Tribolium castaneum: one gene and its partner. The protein of the gene in region 2 binds, or shares a complex with, the protein of the main gene of each other region. Links are inferred from orthologs where the notes say so. Each region holds a gene or a part of one and is shown on either strand. Other genes may lie near its edges.

Evidence for each region. The genes of interacting proteins can lie anywhere in the genome.
Region 1: dynein regulatory complex subunit 3 (region 2) and dynein regulatory complex protein 8 share a complex: the UniProt entries of both Homo sapiens proteins name them as parts of the nexin-dynein regulatory complex. The link is inferred for Tribolium castaneum from reciprocal best matches to the Homo sapiens genes DRC3 and DRC8.

The regions. Positions count from the first base shown.
Region 1 is NC_087394.1:7,332,769-7,336,495, reverse strand, and holds dynein regulatory complex protein 8, read right to left. Parts: upstream 2,065-3,727; 5' UTR 1,930-2,064; coding exon 1,899-1,929; intron 1,849-1,898; coding exon 1,611-1,848; intron 1,565-1,610; coding exon 1,354-1,564; intron 1,305-1,353; coding exon 1,170-1,304; 3' UTR 1,148-1,169; downstream 1-1,147. Other genes in the region: delta(3,5)-Delta(2,4)-dienoyl-CoA isomerase, mitochondrial, read left to right, coding at 1,016-1,114. UniProt on the Homo sapiens protein: Component of the nexin-dynein regulatory complex (N-DRC), a key regulator of ciliary/flagellar motility which maintains the alignment and integrity of the distal axoneme and regulates microtubule sliding in motile axonemes.
Region 2 is NC_087394.1:30,246,415-30,251,401, reverse strand, and holds dynein regulatory complex subunit 3, read right to left. Parts: upstream 3,428-4,987; 5' UTR 3,053-3,427; coding exon 2,896-3,052; intron 2,845-2,895; coding exon 2,561-2,844; intron 2,514-2,560; coding exon 2,341-2,513; intron 2,292-2,340; coding exon 1,943-2,291; intron 1,896-1,942; coding exon 1,500-1,895; exon of another isoform or gene 1,454-1,499; coding exon 1,314-1,453; exon of another isoform or gene 1,268-1,313; coding exon 1,135-1,267; 3' UTR 1,043-1,134; downstream 1-1,042. Other genes in the region: enoyl-CoA delta isomerase 1, mitochondrial, read left to right, coding at 1-208, 908-1,024; TOM1-like protein 2, read left to right, coding at 3,843-3,906. UniProt on the Homo sapiens protein: Component of the nexin-dynein regulatory complex (N-DRC) a key regulator of ciliary/flagellar motility which maintains the alignment and integrity of the distal axoneme and regulates microtubule sliding in motile axonemes.

The DNA of each region.
Region 1 (3,727 bases), about 23 Mb from region 2:
AAAAATTGACGCAGTTACTAGAAATCCCGATTTTCTAGTTTTAAAACAAATAGCGAATAATGTACCACCTTCGACATATTTTGCATTAGCACCAAACTTTTTATTTACTCCTGTAACCAACTGTGATGTAGAAAGATCTTTTTCGAAATTCAAAGATATTTTAACCGCAAAACGGAATCAGTTTTCGAGAATTTAGAAAGAATCTCAGTTATTCAAGCGTATTTCTCAGAAAAAATGATTAAAATATTTTTATTTAGTTTTTAATTTTAATTTCCACTGAATTAAAACGCAACATTTTCAAAATGTAATAGTGACTTACGCTCCCCTGTATTAAACATCTTCATTGGTGTCCGTGTAAAATTAAAGAAATGATGAAGTTATTTTTTAACGATTATGTCAAATTAGGTGCCTTGTCAGGGTTTGAACTAGCCAATCAGAAGCTGATATTAGCAACTATTTTAAAATTGATTCAGAAAATAATCTCAACAAATATACCGCAGTCTTAATAAATTAGCGACTATTTTATTGCCACAATTTTTCTTGGGTACTCCGTAATTATAATAAAACAATAATATTTATGTTTTAATTAGATTTTTGTAAGCGACCGGTAACATTAATTGTATAAACCCCAAGTAAACTACGCCAATGCACACGCTGTAGCGGACCATTTCATCGATAAATATGAACATCGCGAGAGCGCTACGACGAGTCGGCTGATCGGTTGTGGCCTCATGGCCACCCCCTAAAATTTCCTCACACTGGTAATTACTTACCGGCCTTTAAAAGTTATACCTACCGTATTTTCGAACAGAAGGAGTAACTATTTATCAGTAACAACACAGAAATATTTCTTTATTCTTTATTAATGTTCACTGAAACCACCTAATAAAAGGAAACTTGCCTTAATTAAATAACAAGAAGATAAATTAAGCTTATTTTTCAATGGCGCCCCCATTAGTGCTTGTTTCTTAATCCAGCTGCAAAAAATAATAAATTAATAACACATTACTTACAGGCCTTATGGAATCAGCTAATGCTTCAAAGTGAAGACTTCACAACAGCAACAGTAGCCCAAGCTACCAAACAGAAAGATACAGTTTTCGCAAAATTGTAAATTAAGCAAGAAGATTAAATAATAAACAAGGTGGAAGTTTGGAGTGTTTTATAATTTAAAATTCAGGAACGGACAAATCATGCAGGAACTCGGACAGCCTTCGAGGTGGAGGAGGAGGAGGTGGAGGTGGATTTTCCTCAAGAACACGATCAGCTAACTTATAGATATCTTTCTCTCCTTCAGGTTCGTGCTATTAAAAATAACGTAGTGCAATATTTGCAAAAATAAAAATTAGGTACCATTAGCTGATTGATGTAATATTCATAAGGCACAGTTTGAGTGTGTGGGTCTATGGCTATTTCCAGCATTTCGTCGAGTTCGTCTTGGGTAAAGGGCTCACCATCTTGCGTCATAAGCGTGGAAATGCGTTCCTTTGTTAAAAAACCTTTACCTTCATTATCTAGCACTTGGAACGCTTCTAAAAGTTGCGCGGGACTTGCAGGCTGATACCTGCGAATGAAAATTTCGTTTTTTGGCGATTAAATTTTGGTGATACTTGTGTTCAGTGATGATTTGCGACATGTGGGGTAAAAAATTAGACAAGTGTACACTTCCGGGAGATTCGGGGTTTTCAACAGCCATCAAAATTTCCTGAATTTCTGCCTCAGTGGGGCAACAACCCAAGGCACGTACGATCGTTGCCACTTCTCGAACATCGACTGTTTTGTTACCTGCGTGGTCGAAAACTTCAAACGCGTCGGCAATTCTGCGCTCCAAGTCATTATTAATAGGCACTAAAAAAACGTGTTGGTTTTTTGGAAAAAGACGAGTTTTTGACAAAAACCATGAATTTCTTCTTCTTCGTCTTCCAACATTTTAACAATTTTGATAATCGTTAAGGTTTAAACAGTTGACGGTCTCCTAGCGACAGTTTTGGTTGCTAGGTGATTTGAAGTGTTGGCAGTTGTACCACTTGCATATTTTTTTGGTAAAAATCACCAATAATAATAATTACTCTTAATTAAAAATAACATTAAAAAGTAAAAATGCCATATTTATGTTGCACAAATTACGAATGACAAAAAACAGTGTAAATAAAATAAATACACAAATATTATTCAAATTCTCTTTACCAGGTGATTATTCAAAAATTGCGATTCTTGTCAGGTTGGTGACAAATTTGAAATCTTAATATAACAAGCCACCATGAAGGCCAATAATTCAGTGTTACTAATAGGTTTTTTTGTCACAGTCTTTAATAGTCACTCTGTAGTAGATTCTACTTTGCAGTTTTTCAAGATTTTCCTTTAGTTTCGTTTAAATTTCTTCCAGATTATTCTTTAGCTTTCTGTACTCTTCTTTAGATTATTTTATAAATCCATCTTCTCTAGATTCTTCTTTCAAATCCAAAATTGTTTTATTAACACTTTTACATTTTTTTGACATTATCCAAATTTAAGATTCTTGTCTGCGTCGTTTAAAATTCTTCCAAATTATTTTTTAGTCTGTATTATTATTTTATTTATGTACTTTTTTTTACATTGTTCATAATATTCTTCTAAATTTTTTTGTAGAGGAGACTCTAGGTATCTGTAGATACGTCTTTAGAATTATTTTCTAGACTCTAATCAAAATTATTTTATACACTTTTTTTCAAATATTTTTATCCAAATTTTCTTCTAGATTCTACTCTGTATCTTTCCAAAATTCTTCTACAGTTTCGTATAGAATTTTTCTCTTGAAATAATCTTATTAGGTTATAATCTTCTTTAGGTTACATCTTTAGATTCGGTTATAAATTCTTCTGTAGTTTCCTTTACAATTTTTCCAAATAATTTTTATTAATTCTGTAGTCTTCTCTGGATTTTTTTTTCATATACTTTTCTAATTCTTTTCTTTTCTTTTTTTCCTAAATAAGCCTAATTCTAGATCTGAAATATAGATTCTTCTTTCGATTATTGTATAAATTCACGAATTTTTCACGTTTTTTAAGACAATTATTAGGTCTGCTTTGTTTGAAAATTCCTTTGTACTTTCGTTTCGAATTTTTCTAAATTATTTTTTGGCATTATTTGTTTGTCTACTCTTTTTTAGATTGTTTTTAAAATAAGTCTCAAATATTTTAAAAAATCGTTTCTAAACCTAAAATTGGAACTTTTTAAATTATTTTATAAATCCATCTCCATATACTTCTTTAGAAATTATTTTCTATACTACTCAAAATTATTTTATAAACTCTTTTAATTTTTTTTATCCAAAACCTCTCCTAGATTGCACTCTGCATCTTTTCAAAATTGTCCTACAGTTATGTATAGAATTTTTCTCTCGCAATATATTTTTATTCTTTAGCATTGTTTTTGTACTCTTCTCTAGATTTTTCTTGAGATCCTACTCGAGTTCTTTTTTGAAACCGTTTGTAGATCTGAAATCTGGATTCCTCTTTACATTATTTTAGTAAATCCATCTTTGGATGCGCTATTAAATTCCTCTGTAGTTCCCTTTATAATTTTTAAATTATTCTTTAGCATTGTTTCTGTTCTTTTCTCTGATTCTTTTCTAAATAACCCGTTTGCAGATCTGATGGTTTCTTCTTTAGATTATTCTATAAATCCATCTTTAGATTCGTTCTTCTCTAGATTCTTTACCATTCAAAATTCTTTTTTATGTAAACCT
Region 2 (4,987 bases):
GATTGGAACGAGACAGACTGAATTGGCTTTAACTAGCGGCAATCTTTTCTCAACTGACGAAGCTTTGAAAATTGGAATGATTGACGAGGTGGCGGCTAGCAAAGAGGATGGCATTGCAAGAGCGGAGAAGTTTTGCGGAAGATTCGCCAGAATTCCGCCAATTGCAAGAGCCAGATCCAAGTTGGGAGTGCGAGGCGCTGACATACAAGTAAGCCTAATTTCAGCAAATCTAAACACCAATAACTCACTTATCAGAGCAACATATTTTATCCACTCTCAAGCACCTTTAATAAATAAATTTATTAAACTAGTCATGACGAAGTTGCATTCAGAACTGTTGTAAAGTGATTTCGCATCAAGGTCCTTCAATTGTATTTTTTGTATTCATTATCATTGTTTATAACAGTTTTATAAAATTATGCAACGTGTCCCAGCGAGTTGGAAGAGACTGCTAACCTTCCAAATGTTACAATATTAAAAAAAAGTTGTGTTAAAAAGGCTTCGATACTGACCTATGAGCTTAAATTATTTTCAAGTATATAGAAATTATCTCAAAAATAATTTGTTATCCAAAAAACCCCAAGATCTTTTAGTACTGAAATTGTTGGTAATACTTTCGAATTAAGTTTATACTAGAAGTTGAGGGTACTATCTTTCTGCAGAAATTAATCAGTTGGCATTTATCCGTATTTTTTTTAAGTTTCAAAAACTAGGTAGGTAAAATCATTATTAAAAATGCAAGGAAATATAACGAAATGTTTTATTAAGGAAACTCACCAAGGAAACATATTTTTATCTCAACATATTATGTGATGCAATTAGTATTATGATTTTTTTATAGACTTTTTTGGCATTTTTGTATTTAAGGCTCAATTATATATTTTGTAAAAATGAGTTTTTATTTCAGGACCTCACTAACAATCTCCAAAAAGATTACGAATATGTGGCGAATTACGTAGCTCAGGACAGTGTGCAAAAGGGGTTGGAAATGTATCTGCAATCATTGAAGCAGAAACAGAAATAAGGATATTATAAGTTGATATTCTTTTATATAATGAAGTGTAAAATTTATTATCCAAACCAAGAATATGTGTAAGTACTTTTGTAAAAATAAAGTATATTTTACTATCTTACTTATTCCAAGGCTATAACGTCATCCTTGAGATCAGGCGCGTATTCCTTATTCAAATCCTCAAACTCCTGCCTTTGGATTTCAAGAAAGTGGTTAATTTCCAGCACTTTCCCCCTGTTTCGCTTGATCTCATTCCTACAAGTTGTGGATATTTTTCGGGAAAAGTAAAGGCATAACTTACGTGTTTAAATCGTCGATTAAATCATTTAGCCAATCCTTGGCGTTCGAAATGAGAGTGTCTTCTCTCGCATCGATAATCTGCATGTGCATATCGTGACTTGTTGCCAACGCGTTGTGCAGAAGATCCTTATCTGCCATAAGCTGTAATCTCATTGAAATTATTAATAAAGCAAGTGCCGGAAGTTACCGGTTTAAGAACTGCGGGAACTTCGATTTCCTCATTCAAATTGGCATTTGTTTGAAACTTTGTGGCCAAATCGCCGATATTTTCAGCGTAGCTCACTTCCAGCTCTCTGATCTGCGTAAAGAAAGCCTGCGACGATTCAATGAAATTATTAACGAGTTCTGTGATGTTGTGTTCGAAAGTTTGGTTGACTTCTTCCATTTGTTCGTAAAGTTCCAGTTCCAGTTTCATTAGCGCTTTCCAAACTTCGTGCAACATCTCGTCGTACTCCACCACGAAGACGTCGCATTTGTCGATAAACTCGTCGTAATTTATTTCGTTTGAGTTCAGCTGGTTTTGCACGTTTTTGATTTTGAGGAACAGTATTGCCTTCTTCTCCAGGAAGATCTCCATGTGTTTCTACGGACGAAATTTGGGGCTATAAGTAAATTCGAAAGGGGGCGTACAATGCTTTCGTCTTGATTGTCCTTATTTGCGTCTTCGACGCATTTTAAGAACTGGTCCTGTTCGGTTTTGCGCAGGATGTACTGTTGTTGCCCATTTTCGAATATTTGTTTACACAGTTCGATGAAGTTCTCCTCGTACTCGTCGTAGAATTCTTGCGCGTCTTCGCCGATTTTCATCAAGTTCATGCCGTCGGTGTCGTTGGCAAATAAAGAGTCGAACAAATGGCGAGTGTTTAAATACTCCACGAAACTAGAGGCGTGAAGTTCGGCATCGGCCAACTCTTGTTCCTTTATCGCAGTGATTTCCCGTTCCTTCTCCTCTTTCTCCAACAATGCTCGCAGTTTTGCACTAAAAAACTCTCCTACTGATGTTCACTTAAACAATTTTAGCTAGAAACCTGAAAGTTTCGTGTCCAAGTTCCCGTTCCGACTCGTATATTAATTTATATTCGTAGTAAACGAGTTGTGGCAGAAAAACTGCAATAAATAAACGAAAATCTTCATCCTCGGCACAGGGATTCCCCACTAGATTTAACGATTTTAAATTGCCGAATCGTCGCAAATACAGAATCTATAAAATATTTGTGTATTCTAGAACACAATTATTTTTCGTAATACATTGTCCAAGTCGTCAATTTTGTTTCTTCCAATGCTAAAAACTGTTAATTTTGTTAAAGTGTCCATGTTCTCCAAAACCGTGATTTCGTTATCATACAGACTCAGCTTTTCAAGGTTGCGAAGCTCGTCTAAATTTTCGATTTTAGCTATTTTATTGAATGATAAATTTAGTTCAGTTAAGTTCACCAGACTTTCCAAATTTTCGATTTTTTCCAGTAAATTATTGTTGAGATTTAATTTCGTTAAAGATGTCAGCACCCACAAGTGGTCAATTCTTAAGATATCTACGGATAGGGACACAGAAAGTCGGGTTTAAATTTTACAAGAATTGTTACTCAGAAATTCTAAGCGAATCTCGGTGACGTCTTCAAGGGGGATTTTTTCGATCTCCGCCAAGCGACCCGCTTCACCCTTGGGGCCCTGGTCTTTGATACATTTCTCCAGAAGGGCATTGTCTATTACTTTTGGCTCTTTCAATTTACAAGGATTCATTTTTACAAATTTTCATTAGGCACACTAAATCGATACAAATACCTTTTCAAGCATTCTTGAAATTATTGATGTCACAATGACTGTTGTTTAAGTACCTTATTGTTGCTATGGACTTGAGAAATCATGAATCTTTGAGTTTGCCGAGCTTGTGCTCTTGAGTTTTATTATTTTTCATTGTGAAATTATATCAATTACAAAAAACTCTTTACAGGTAGATTATAACGTCTAAGTAGATAAAAATAGCCCAGAGAGGGTTTTTGGAGTAAAAAAATCTTTACAATTAAGAGTTTGCGAAATTGTAGTCGAGGCGAAGCCGAGTGCTGATACCGCAACTTATAAAAAAATACTCAAAATTGTAAAATTACGTTGTATTCTGTATCAAAGAAGAAATGACAACAGCACAGTTATAAATGCAGAAATGCTCGCTTTGGTAGTATATTACGTGAAAGAACGGAAAAATAACATAAAAAAAGAACTTTAAATTGTGAACCGCACCTCGTATAATTTTTGATCACGTGACACATGTCTGACGTCTTTTTATTCAGAAGTTTACACAACTTGGGAATGAAAAGATCAATAAATTAGAAAAACAGTGACTAACACACCAACAAGCGCGTCATGCAGTTTATTTGTTTGAAATAAAATTGTTATTTTCGTCGGAAAATTTTAGATTTAGGAGCGGAAGTATTGCGCAAGCGCCGCAGTGTTTTCTTGTTTTGACAAGTGACAGTGACAGAAGTCAAGTGACAACAAGAAAGTGCAATCGTGAAATTTAATTTAGAAATAAAAAATGTCTTTTTTTGGAACTGCATTAGGAGGAAATCCCTTTTCGACGCCCGTAGGATCGCGAATTGGTGAGTCCCGCTTGGCATTGCCGGATTTCATTTAATTTTTTTCCGTTGTTAAAATCGATTTAATAAAACGTAAATAGAACTAGAAACCGGTGCTGGCACTGTATTTTATTGTTTAGATTACATTGTTTATCACTTTTGTTGGCTGATTCACCTATATCTATTCATCAGACTGTTTAATTACTGTTTCTGGTAATAATTCTAAGGTACTTCGTCATCGCTGTCTGTGTAGGTGTAGGTTTTTGCATTTACATTTTGTTTGTCACAACTACAGCGTGGTTTTTATTTCGTACCAAATTTGTTTATAATTATTTACCAATAGGTGTGACTTATACTACTCTACATAGGCTATCAACTGAGACGTTTTATGCTTTCTTCACGGGGTCCTATGGAAATTTGTCTATTTAAACCTATTATTAAAAAAATACTTTGCGTTATCGGTACAATAATCTCTTATGTATGTCACAACAGTTAGGAATAATACCGCTGTAGTACCCACATTCTTTGATAATTTTATGGGCAAAACGTAGTTGAAATATTTTTCATCGTTGCTTTAAAATAAATATACATATGTATTTATGCTAATTCAGATCAGTTAATTAATTGGAACTATTTTTGCGCGTTCTTAATCACCTTAGAATAAAAATAACAATATAAATTCTTTTCTATCGCCTATTTACATGAATAATTCAAGTGTAAAATAGAGCAACAAGAATTTTCGAAAATGACCAATAACATAGTAATAATAAGTCCATAAACAATCATTCAACAATGTGTTGTGAGACATTGGTAAATATTTAAGTAATGAACCAGACATATTTTTTTCAGATAAAATTTTAAAATGTTTGGCTAACAAAAAACAACGTCCTCTCCAAAACTTTTCTTTACAATTATTATAATTAATTGTGATTACTGCAGCGTGCACCACATTTATTTAAGTGATTAGATTTAATTATTAAAATGGATGTGAACCTAGTCATTTGGTAAATTAAATTGTACTACAAAATTAATAGTAAAGTTAATTTGTACGTAAAATGTTGCAATAGCATGCAACTGTATGGGCGAGGCATGTGTTACATGTATT